Ovis aries: one gene and its partners. The protein of the gene in region 2 purifies or fractionates together with the protein of the main gene of each other region. This does not show direct contact. Links are inferred from orthologs where the notes say so. Each region holds a gene or a part of one and is shown on either strand. Other genes may lie near its edges.

The links.
Region 1: the proteins of ARID1A (region 2) and SMARCD2 purify together in Homo sapiens (affinity purification with mass spectrometry; 7 studies listed by BioGRID and IntAct, with this or other methods). This does not show direct contact. The link is inferred for Ovis aries from reciprocal best matches to the Homo sapiens genes ARID1A and SMARCD2.
Region 3: the proteins of ARID1A (region 2) and DPF2 purify together in Homo sapiens (affinity purification with mass spectrometry; 6 studies listed by BioGRID and IntAct, counting the BioPlex papers as one, with this or other methods). This does not show direct contact. The link is inferred for Ovis aries from reciprocal best matches to the Homo sapiens genes ARID1A and DPF2.

Annotation. Positions count from the first base shown.
Region 1 is NC_056064.1:47,811,047-47,814,468, forward strand, and holds part of SMARCD2 (SWI/SNF-related matrix-associated actin-dependent regulator of chromatin subfamily D member 2), read right to left. Parts: intron 2,453-3,422; exon of another isoform or gene 2,129-2,452; intron 1,852-2,128; coding exon 1,667-1,851; intron 1,475-1,666; coding exon 1,432-1,474; intron 1,272-1,431; coding exon 1,149-1,271; intron 421-1,148; coding exon 265-420; intron 1-264. UniProt on the Homo sapiens protein: Involved in transcriptional activation and repression of select genes by chromatin remodeling (alteration of DNA-nucleosome topology).
Region 2 is NC_056055.1:240,201,251-240,205,394, forward strand, and holds the start of ARID1A (AT-rich interactive domain-containing protein 1A), read right to left. Parts: upstream 2,823-4,144; 5' UTR 2,060-2,822; coding exon 914-2,059; intron 1-913. UniProt on the Homo sapiens protein: Involved in transcriptional activation and repression of select genes by chromatin remodeling (alteration of DNA-nucleosome topology).
Region 3 is NC_056074.1:39,982,888-39,987,014, reverse strand, and holds the start of DPF2 (zinc finger protein ubi-d4), read right to left. Parts: upstream 2,832-4,127; 5' UTR 2,789-2,831; coding exon 2,757-2,788; intron 1-2,756. UniProt on the Homo sapiens protein: Plays an active role in transcriptional regulation by binding modified histones H3 and H4. Is a negative regulator of myeloid differentiation of hematopoietic progenitor cells. Might also have a role in the development and maturation of lymphoid cells.

The DNA of each region.
Region 1 (3,422 bases), on a different chromosome or scaffold from region 2:
GACCTGAGGCACAGAAAGGGTCCCTAGGCAGCCCCGCTGTCAGCCAGTAAAGGACCGGAATTAGCAAGGGCACCCCTTCCTCAGGACACTCTATCGCCATCTGCAGGAAAAGCACTGTAACAACCACACAAACCTCCCACCTCTGGACTGGGTGCTGTGCCCTCTCCCTCCAGCAGGATGACCCCGGAAGTGCCCAAGTGTCTGGCCCAAGTCTGAAACCCACATAGACCACTGCCCCTCCAGACACCTCCTTCCCCAACTCACATCATCCAGCAGTTTTCCCTCTACTCGGAGTTCCCAGGAAGCCACCTTGTCCCCTGCGGGGGTTCCTCCAGGGGTCCCTGTGGTTCCTGCACTGTCACCTTCTGCCTTGCTGGGACTGAATGTATTGGAAATATAGATCCGCAGCTTTCGTTTTTGCTAAAGAAAGACAACAGGTTAACTAGACAGGGACCAGCTGCTACCCAATCCTCCCGTCTGAACTCATTTCACACCCATACAGAGAGTGCTATGGGTCAGGCCCCTAGTGAGGCCCTGGGAACTGGGCGAGGAAATCTCATCCCTCACCTTCAAGGGACTCACAACTTTATGGGGAAACATGCAGTACCAAAAGGTCCAATACAGGGGCATCGGTGGTGTGACAGATCCACTGAGGGTGCTATCAGAAGTTGCTGGCTCATAGTTTAAGTGAAACCCAAACACTCATCGTGGCTACAGAACATCGTCTCCCGGAAAGCCTCCACCATTCAAGGAACTGTTCTCTAGATAAAATTTCTCTAGGGACGGGGAAGAAGACAGGAACTATCCTCATCTACCCTCCAGCTTTGCCTTTCAAACTTCTGACCATGATGTATAATATTGTTTTAAATTATGATCCAGGATCTGCACATATATGCAAATATATGAATCAAAAATGTCGTAATTCCTTTGCTACTGTGAAGAATGATCATTTCTACAACCCTAATGTTCCATTAAAAACAGGCTGGCCTCACCACATCAAAGCAAATTCATGCTAAATGGGCTGTATCCTATAGTGTAAAACATCCTGCTCTAGCCCATCAGAGACGCCCACTTGGCCCCTGGAAAACAAGCCCAGGGAGGGGCAGAGAAGCTTGGCGAGGCCCAGGAGCGGCTGGGGCTGCACACACCGTCAGAGGCTTTTTGATGGCCTCCTGGATTTCCATCCGCTTTCGAGCAATGGTCTGGTCCAGCTTCCGTTCAAAAGCCAAGAGGTCCATGTACGCCTGAGACTCTGGGACAAGCTCCCGAATCTGGAAGTGTGGAGGGAGCAAGGATCCATCAGCTCATTTCAGCTGCAGCTCTGGCTCCTTCCTCACTTCCTCCCTCACCCCAAGGTGAGGGGAGACTGAGTCCACCCTCAGCCAACCAGCCCTTGGGTGGGCCTCTTAGGCCCTCTCCCAACATACTCACTCGCTGAGGTAGAACTTTATCTGCCATCTTCCTCCTCTTTAACCTAAGAGGACAGAAACCCAACGAAGAAGTCAATGGTCCAAAGGACCTCCCCGCCTCCCCACCTCTCCAGTCCCCAGGACCTTCCCAAGACAACCAGGAGTCTTCCTCAGTCATCGCAGCTCTTAGGACACACGGAAACCGTGTTACTGCCAGAGCTACGCTAGATGGGGTAGAAGAAACAGGAAGGTCTTACCCCCGGCGCTGGGCAGGCATCGGGGGCTGGGCCTGAGGCACAAGCAGGCGTTTTCGGAATGGGTCCATCATGGTGGGTGGCATGCCAGGTCGAAGTGGAGCAGCTGTGCCAAAGGGGGAGCCGGCAGGGGGTCCCACCTGCAAGCCAGCCATGGGCATCCGGCTCCCTGGGGACATGCCAGGCCGCTGGGGGAAGTGAGCCAATGGGGGTGCATAGGTCAGGGGTGGGGCCCAACGGGGCCCGTAACCCATTCCTTCCATCCCTCTCCTCGCCTGGGTCCAGTCCTGAGCAGCACACCACGGGGCCGCCGAGCCCAGGCAGGAGTGCCAGGAACAAAGGGGAGCAAGCGCCTGAGAGCAGAAGTGTAAACCACACCTGCCCCGCCCCCTTCAACCGCCCTGGCAGCCGTGCCAGCGAATGAGGCCCGCAGAGCCCAAGGGGTGGGAGGAGAACCCTGCCTGCAGGGAGAAGGGCCTGGGGGAGTTTTTCAGGGCCTATTGCCACTTGCAACCACCTTCTGGCCCCAGCAACACTCTGCCCGGCTCCCTGGACCAGCCGGCCTCAAGGCTCTCAGATGGTCCCACCGAGCACTCCATCCTCTCCTCCCCCAGCTTGAGGCAGAAGCCAGGGGCAGTGTCGTAGCCAGGCGGCGGACTGTGGCTGTGATGCGAGCAGGCTGACGGGGCACAGCCCCAGTGCCCGTCCCCAGTCACCGGCCTGGTGGTGTGACTGAGCAGGGAACGGCAGTCCAAAGGGCTGGCAGGCCCATCGGCAGCGGCACCGCAGGTGAGCAAGCTGCAACAGGATGGCTTGGAGCCTGTCCCGACGGGTGGGGGCGGCCTCAGGCAGAGTACACAGGCCATCTGGTCGCCATATGGCCCCTACTCACCACCCAGAACTGGACCCTTCTCTCACCTCTCTGCTGCCCAGCCCCCAACCTCTAGGCCTGAAGACTCCAAAGGGAAGCTGTGGCTCCCCAGTGGTCTGCGGAAGGGAGAGCAGCTGGCACCTGGCCTCTGCCTGCGGTCCACACGCCACCTGGTGGCTGGGGCTGCTTGGCAATGCCAAGCTGGAGAATGGAGATAAGATTAGCCTGGGATGCAAGGATCAAAGTCTTAGGATCAGCAGAGGAAGCTGGGTAGGAGGTGGCTTCTTTCAAAACCTGCAGAAGGGATTTCCCACTGAGGTCCGGCTCCCCAACATTACTGTGGAACCCACTGGGGAGGAGCCCCCACCCCCTTTCTTGTGGCTGCTGCTGCCTGCAAGGCCTGTTTGGCAGCTCTGCCTTGCACACACTGTCCCTGGCAGCTTCACAGGGCTGGCCCCAGGGCCCAGATTATGCAACCAGCACAACCAGCCAACCAAGCCAGGCTGGGTGGGGATTCACACCAAATCAAAGGACCCCCCCCCCCCCCCAACCCCCTTCCCTACCAGCATCACAGAGATGAGATTCCTACTCCAACTCTTCATCCCGCACTCATCCCACGTTCTCACCAAGGACGGTCAGATTCTTGACCAGAGGCAGACACAGGAAAAGAGGAGAAACACGACCCAAAGACAGGGGGAGGGGAGAAGGAGGGGGGTGGGAAGGAAGCGTTTGGGAGGATGGGGGGCCTCTGGAGTCCTGCCACAAGTCTCCTCATCAGGAGGAGGCTCCTCTGAGCTGCGGAGAGGCAAAGACAGCCTGCTTCTCTGCCTTAATGAGCCAGAGCTACACAGCTAGAGATGCTAGAAAAAAAAAACTCAGGGTGGCCAC
Region 2 (4,144 bases):
AGCCAATTTCAGCTCTGGAATAAAAGGCAGATAGTGGCAGCGATGGTTTGGGTTATCACTGGCAGAAAAGCAGAGTGTAAAAGTTTATGAGCTCATCAGGATTGTTGTACCATTACATCAGAGGCAATTATAAATGGCCAAGAGCAGGAGATGGGGAGCCAATCAGATCACAGATAGGATGTCAACCTAAGACCAACTGTCTCCTGGCTTTGACAGAAGGATTTTACCTCCATAATTCAAATCCCAAACCAAAGCAATCTGCACTTACTACTCCAATCACTCAGCTGTTTACCAGCACTTCCAGGGAGAAGCCCAGGCCACTGGGCCGACGGAGACTAAGACAGGAGACGACCTGGGCTGCCCAGGGTGAACCGAAGCCGGGCTCTAGCTGCTCCCAAGCAGGCCCCTGCCCTCCCTCGAGGTCCCCCCGAGCCCGAGGGGCCCCCTCCTTGAAAGCACAGATGGGGACCGGCCTAGAGGAAGGTAGGGAGGGCAGAGAGGAGCGGCAGGTGAGCAAAGAACTGTTCACTCAACTCCCGACCTCCGAGGGCTGCCTACACCCCTAACCTGAGCCCCCAACACCCCCTCACCCCGGGCCGGGCCCTTTTCCCGCACACCCGGCTCCGCACCCCTCTGAAGACCCCCCGGAGCTGGAAGGGACCCGGGGAGGAGGAGGAGGGGAGCAGACACCTCAAGGAAAGCCCCACACAAAGGCTGAAGGAGGGAAAGAGAGGAAGGCAGACGGGCAGCCATTTTAAGAGAGAAAGAGCGAGACAATGGCAGCTCCCCAGCAGTGGGGGCCCCAGACTGGGGGTAGCCCACGGCCGTGGCCCGCTCCCCGCCGCCGCCATCCACTCCCAGGACCCCCCCGCCCCACTCGCCACAGCCCCCCCTACCCCACCAGCCGTGTTACCTGCGGGGTCCGGGCGAGCGGCTGCCCCCCGCCGCCGCTGCTCCCAGGGCTCATGGGCGCGTGGTGGCTCCTTTGTTGGGCCCCTCCCGAGGCGGCCGCGGCCGCCGCCGCCGCAGCAGCAGCAGCCCCCCAGCACTGAGAGGCCATGTCCGCCGGGCCCTTGCCGGCGCCCCCGTCCTGGGGCCCGCCGCCGTAGTCGCCCCCGGGGTAGCCCTGGTAGCCCCGGGCCGAGCTGGGCGACGTGAGCAGTTGGTTGAGGGTGGGGGTGGCGGTGGGCTGGGGGGTTCCCCCTGCGGCCGCTGAGGGGCCGCCTCCCCCCATGGCCCCGAAGCGCTGCTGAGCGAAGGACGAAGACGACGAGGAGGCGGAGGCGCTGGAGGAGGGAGGCGGCTTGGAGCCGGCGGCCGCCGCCGCCGCCGCGCCGGAGCCCGGAGTGCCACCTCTCGGGGAGCTCAGCGCGTAGGCCTGGGGGGGCGGGGGGTAGGCGCTGCGGTTGGGGTAGTAGGAGTTGTACTGGTGGTTGGGGAAGCCGTGGTCGTGCGAGTTCTGCTGGGGCCCCGCGTAGGGCTCCAGGCCCCCGCCGCCGCCGCCGCTCTGCAGCGCTGCCAGGCCAGGGCTTTGTTGTCCGCCATGTTGTTGGTGGAAGACGGCGGCCGCGGCGGCGGCGACGGCAGACGGGCTCCGGCCGTAGGGTTGCCCGAAGCCGTAGGCTGGGGGCGGCAAGGCGGCCGCGGCTGAGTGAGGAGGCGCCCCCACCCCGTCGCTGCTGCCGCCGCCACCGCCGCCGGGCGGCTCCGTGAGGTTATTGTTCAGGGCGGGCCTAGGGCCCGCGTTCCCGTTCGAGTTCTTCAGGTCCGGCTCCGCGCCGGGCCCGCCGGCTCCGCCGCCGCCGCCACCCCCATTGCTCTCGGCCCCGTCCTGCAGCTCCTTTCCCAGTGGCTGCGGCGGCCCCACGGCGGGGCCCTCGCTTTCCTGCCCGGCGGCTGCCTTCATTTCCCCGCGCTCCGCCGCGACCGCCGCCGCCGCCTCGCCCCCCGCCTCCTCCCGCTGCTGCTGCTGCTGCTGCTCCGCTTTCTTCAGCTCCGAGGGCGGCGGCGGCGGATTGCCCAGGCTGCTGGCGGCGGCGGGGGCGACCTGCGCGGCCATGATCCCCGCTGTCTCGTCCGCGGAGAGACCCGGCCCTGTCTTCGTCTTCTCTCACCCCCCTCCCACCCCACCCCGCCCCGGGGCCGAGTCCCCCCGGGCTTCCCTCCCCACCCGCCCGGGCGGGCCTCGCGGGGCTCCGCGGCTTTTGCGCTGCGCTCGCTCGCTCGCTCGCTCGCTCGCTCCTCTCCCCCCCGCCCCGCCGGCTCAGGCTCCGGGCTGGCGGCGGCGGCGGAGGAGGAGGAGGCGGCGGCGGCGGCCGAGGCGCCGGCGGCTCAGCTGCTCCCGGCTCTGTAAGCTCGGGACCCGGCTCTCCCGGCTCATTCCCCCCCAAGCCCTTGCCTGGGAATGAGGGGGGCGGTGGAGGCTCCGCTCCCCAGGGCCTGGCCCCGCTGTGACTCTCCGCTTTCTGCTGCCGGAGAAAGGAGGGAGGGAGGGAGGGGAGGGAGGGAGGCGAGGGGGAGGGGGCGGGGAGGGAGGGAGGGAGCGGGGGGAGGGGGACCCGGGACGGGCGGGCTGGAGGGCGCGCGGCAGCAGCCCGGGCGCCGGCAGGCAGAGTCGGAGCGTGGGCCGGGCCGGGCGCCCTGCCTCCCCTCCCCGGCCGCGGCGCCGGGCCGAGGCTGCTGCGCGGCGGCGAGCGGGCGAGCGGGCGGGCGGCCGGACTGAGCGGCTAGAGCGCCCCACTCTCCTCCGAGTCCCCCTCACTCCGACACGAGGCTCAGCACTGCCATTTTACCCAGCGCCGTCGCGGCCGCCTGGCAAACCCGGAACGGAGCGCGGAGCGGGGCGCAGGCCGTGGAACGGACTCGCTCCCTTCCCCTCACAAAGGAGGAGGGGAGAGAACCAGCCGCGGCGGCGGCGGCGGCGGCGGCAAGCGCTCTGCCGCTCTCGCTCGGCAGCGCCGCCGCCGAAGGCTTCGGGGAAAACCCGGCCCGGAGCTCGCGCCTCTCCGGAGCCTGCGCGCCGCCTCCCTCCTGGCCTCCCTATCCAGGTCGGTCCCCTTCGCGCCGCGGGCAGCGTGAACTTTACTCGCGGCTGCAAAATTGGCCTGAGCCCGAGACCGCGGCCGCCTCGGCCCAGGCCTGACCCCCCCTGGCAGCGGGCCTGGTCTCTTGGCCGCTACTTAGCATCTCCGCGGCACTTTTCCTTCTTCAAAGCCTTTTGCAGACCTGCTCCAAAGACCCAGCTGAGCTTTACGTTGTATCCTCTTTGCAAGCTGCATGGAATGACAGATCATTGTTTCAGACTTTCCGTTTTCCCACTCTCTGCCCTCATTAGCCGGTCCTCACAGGCCCTGGGGGCACGAAGTTCCTGATCCCCATTTTACAGACTCATAAGATAGCGAAGGGGACCGGCCTATCACTTAGTCTATCACTTACAAAGACAAGGGCAGTGGAGGGTGACTTTAAAAAGTAGCAGAGTCCCCAGTGCTGCCCCTGTCTACTTAGCGTTAGAAATAATAGTAATAAAAAGAAAAGTGGTGCCATATACAACAGTGGGATCAGAACATCAGAATGGGTTTGAGATTCAAGCTGGTCATCTCAACCGATATAAAATGGTCACCCCTGAAGATATTTTGGGGACATATGACCGCCTTCTTGGAGGAAGACACAAGCCCCACCTTTGCCCACAATGACCAAGGTCCCGTCTCCAAAGACAGTACCTGTAAGACTGTAACAGACCACAGAAGAGACTCCAGGGACTGGTGGAACCTGAGTGTTCAAAGGAACCTCTGCCGAAGAGGGATGACCAAGTAGAGGGAACCGTTTTCTCCTTAAAAAGAGAGAAAAGGTGCAGTCTAACACCTCACTCAGAAAACAGATGCAGCCTAAATTTGTTTTTCTATCCTTCATTGTAAGGAATCATTAAAGTTTACTGTTACATTCTAAGAGATGCTGAATGGGAGATGCTGAGTGAACTGGAGGTATACACAGAAAATTCTAGATTCACAGGCTCCACCACATCTCAGCAGCAGCCTTGTCCTCTGACTGACTTAGAATGCTCTGACATGACAGGCTACACAGGCCAGAAGGGATACCGGCTTCTCACGAAGCCCAGGGCTGCCTTGAGAGATGCTAGGTCAGCTAG
Region 3 (4,127 bases), on a different chromosome or scaffold from region 2:
TTGAACACAGTAAATCTCTGTCGTTTATGTTCGTAACTCAAGCTGCAGCAACAAACCCTGCTCTGGAATCGAAGAGGGGCTTTCATGGGGCAGCCACTGAGGCACAGCTTAGAACGTTCCCAGCAACCAACAAAGACATACACTGCACGCAGGCAGTGACATCACAAGATAGTCTGGCTTGATTCAATGTGCTGTAATGACTGTAATTTGAGGTAGGCATGAAGCCTGTGCTGGAGAATAAAGAGAAGGAATAGGCTCATATTTGCTCGCCTTTAGGAGGCAGCCATGTCCTCACTAAACAGAGGAAAATTGGATAAACAAGGCTGAGTGCGGCAGCGCCTTTGTTTCTGCTGATGGAAATTGATACTGACACTGTAAGTCAGATGGAAAGAAGGGCTAGACAGGCTGAGAACTGCAAAGTCAGAGCAAGGAGGCTGGAAACTGTCGGGGGTGGGGTTGAGATATGACGAGAGATGTTCTATCAAAGCTCCGGTGAGTTAAATGGGATTTCAGAAGGTGGGGCAAACTGCATTGTGAGTGAGAGCTGATAACGAAATACAAGTTGGAGGAAGAGAGGATCTGATGAGGATAGAGCAAAAAAGAATGAGAGAGCTCTCTTAAGAATCTAAGGCTCCTACAAGAAATTTTAAGCTAACATTCTCCAGATCTTGTTACCTAACTCAGAGGATTTCAGCAACCACAGCTCTTTTATACTATTATTTTGCCCTGTAAGACCTCTTAAAGATTGTTTCAATTCTGACACCACGTTTGGGAGGGATGGAGAATTTACAAACAGGAAAATTCTTCTCCCAGAACAAGATGCAAGTCAGAAAAGATGAGCTAGTAGTCCTGACCTCAATGTAAAACCTCAGCAGTCAGAAGACTAGGCACACCGTGGTCAAGAAAAGCGTCTCTTTACAGGATGAGAATGGTACAGGAAGACTGGAAGTCTCTTTTTAAAGAGCAGGTTCTGTACGAAAATGTATTAACTGTGGTCCACAGCTCTTTACAGCTAGAACTGAGGAGTAGAAAGTTGGTTATTTATTACTGGTACTCAGGAATCAGCAGTTGGTGACCTTCACTATCTCTACAGATCTTTAAAGAGAAATAAGAAGTCAAGCTCTATTTAAACGGGCAACCCCTCACTTCCAATACTGCATGAAAGGGTTGGTGACCTTATTTCTCAGATGAAAGTCTTCCAACATAAACAATCTCACTACATAAAACTCTTAAACCTAGGCAAGTTTTGACATTCCCCCATTACAGTAAGCTTTCCAAGGTAGAAGCTTTGATTCTTTTTTGAGAGGCATGAAACCTGTGTAAAACCTCCCTTTACAATGGGACAGGGGCAGTCAACAAAGAGAAAGACAGGGAAACAAAGAAAGAACATCTGAGTCAGTATGGATAACATATAAATGGTAGATCAGCAGCGTCATTTCTAAATTGAGGGAAATGTCAGCTTGGAGAGAGTGCTGGGGAAACTGAAGTGGGTAGATCAGAGAGGAAGATAATAAATAGTGCTGGGAGTAGGGGTGGCTGAAATAGGCAGCAGGATGGAGCTGAAAGCACGTTAGGAAAAAAAAAAAAACCCACAAGGAGAAGGCACTTAGCTTAATGGAAGTGGGAAAGCATTCTCAAAGAAAAGGCTCCAGGCAGGGGGAGGGAGAGAAGCAATGTACTCTTAGAAAAAAGGCTCTTGGGAAGAGTGGGGCTCAGCCTACTACAAAGACAGTTGAGAAGCTATGTGCCCCTTAGAAGAGTTCCCAAACCTTTACCTTCTCACCCAGTCAAAATCCAAAAGCCAAGCTGCACAACTGGTCACCTCATTTTTCCTACCCCTGCACCAAGCCAAATGTGTCCATTAAAGAGCTTGCTGTATTGGCCGACGGGGGTGGGGGTGCAAGAACCCATTGGAAAACTCATTGAGATTCTTCTTCGGGGAGGAGGCTGGATTAAATCAAGTCCCAAAGCATCTTTAACTCACAGCTAACAGGCCATTCTCAGTCTGCCAAACAACCATGAACTTTAACTTTGCTTGAAATCTGCCCAGTCCAAGAGTATTGCAGAGCGAAGAAGGTCGACCCAGATGCCCCTCGGGGCGGCCAGGGCGTCCTGGACTGCGTCCGTCCAGTGCCCACTTTCCGATGGCTGGGACTGGCCGGCGCCAAGCCCCTCTTCCCTGAAGTTCTTTCCCTCTGGATCTTGCTCTTCCACAAATTCTCCCCAGGAATATTTTTGGTCTCGGGTACCTGATACTCAAGGACCACCCCACCCCCGCCCCCGCCCGCCCAGGAACGTCACGGGGCTGTTCAGAACAAAACAGCCCTGAGCGCTTAACGGCGCCAGGGCGGCCGAGCCTGCTCCTCCGGGGCCCGCTGCGGGCAGCCGACGGGGAGGGGCCGGCGGCCAGGCTTCGCGGGGGTCGGCCCCGCTCTCCCGGACGGAGGCGAAGCCCGGACCGTGTGCCGTACGCAACAAGGGCGCCATACTCTGGAAACCTTCCGCCTGAGGGAGCGCCCAGCCCCACAGGGAGGCTGCCCGTCACGGGCTCCCGTGTGCCCCCCTCAGGGCCTCCACAAGTTTCCAAAGAAGCGCAACGTCTTTCCCGAGTCTCCTGTTGCCCTCCCCTCTAGGAGTCGCAACACGGCCTCTCTGGGCACGTCCCTCTCTCCGCCTCGTCCGTTCCCACACCGCCCCCTGCTTCCAGGTCCCTTACAAGACCTCCCAGGCTAGAAGAGAAAGAAACGGCCACTCACAGCTTCACTACATTTTCCACCACGGCCGCCATCTTCCCGGCTTCTCTCCCTCAGGCCGGGAGGCCCGGAGCCCGCAGCGCGCAGGCGCTGGGACCGCAGAGGGAACCAATTTCCTTGTCTTTCTGCGCAGGCGCCACCGGGGCGCGTGCGCCCGAGAGCGAGCGACGGAGAATGAGCTTCTGGCCAGTTCTCCCCGGCCTGGCAATCCGGGGACGAATGCGCAGGCGCAATGGAGGCGGGCGCGCGCCCCGAGGCTTCTGCTCCAGTTTTGCCTCATCCTTTTAGTGAGAAGGTAGAAGCGAGAGGATCTGACCGGGTCCATAAATGAGAAGGTGAGAGGTTGGTGAGAACTGGCAAGCCCAGAGGTGGTCTAGATGGAGGTCATGCGTCCTGTTACCTCGCTGACCTTTAACCTCGTGGTTAATAACCCTTTGCCCTCACGTACAGACTCAGGGGTTGGTGGGTAGCCGAAGGTAAGAGCAGTGCACACTCCTCTTGGGCTGCCCACTTTAGTGAGAGAAATATTAACTCCAAGAACCTGGCAGATCTTTGGCCTGAATATTTGGGTCTGACAAAAGTTCCCCCACCTTCCTGCCACCAACTTAATTGATCTCCACCTCTTCTTCCCTGCTTCCTACCCCTAAGCTCTTGTCCTCCTCTGAAGAACTTCTCTCCTGCAACTTCCTCTCCTGTACCATTCAGTTCTCCTTCGCTATTGAATCATGCAAATTCATCTGCAAACATGGCTTAATATCCTCTTTAAAAAATATCAGAGCCCTTCCTTAAGCCCTTTCTGCCTTTATCACCCTCTTTCTTTTCACCCTTTCAGAGCACATATTCTTGTTTATACTTACTATCCCTGCTGATTTATTTCCAAGTGTCTCTCTGCCCAGTTTAATGGCGATTTTGTTCTCATCAGTTCATTGAAACATCTAACAAAGACACCACGATCTCCATTTCAACAGATTTCGAGATCTCCCTGTCTTTATCAGCCTATCAGCCCTCATGACAACACTGGCCAGTCACTTCTTTTTCAAACTCATCTCTGAGACACACACTCTCCTGGCTGGCTGCCTATCACACTGCCAGCTCCTTCAGCTTCTTTTACTGGCTCTCTGTCCTCACATCTACCTAGACCCGTCAGAGTCCCCAGGGCTTGGTCTTTGATCCTGGTAATATGCCGTATTTCATCAATTCTAAGATGCACATATTCTCTGCCCTCCCCCCATTTTAGTATTTCGGAATCAGGACACATCTTACCATCATTGTGCCTTAAAATCAGGTTTGGCAGATGAGAGTTGAGTGGTATTTGTCATTGTTTACCCTGCACCAAATTTGCAGAATAGATGTCAGCAGCTTGGAAGGAAAACC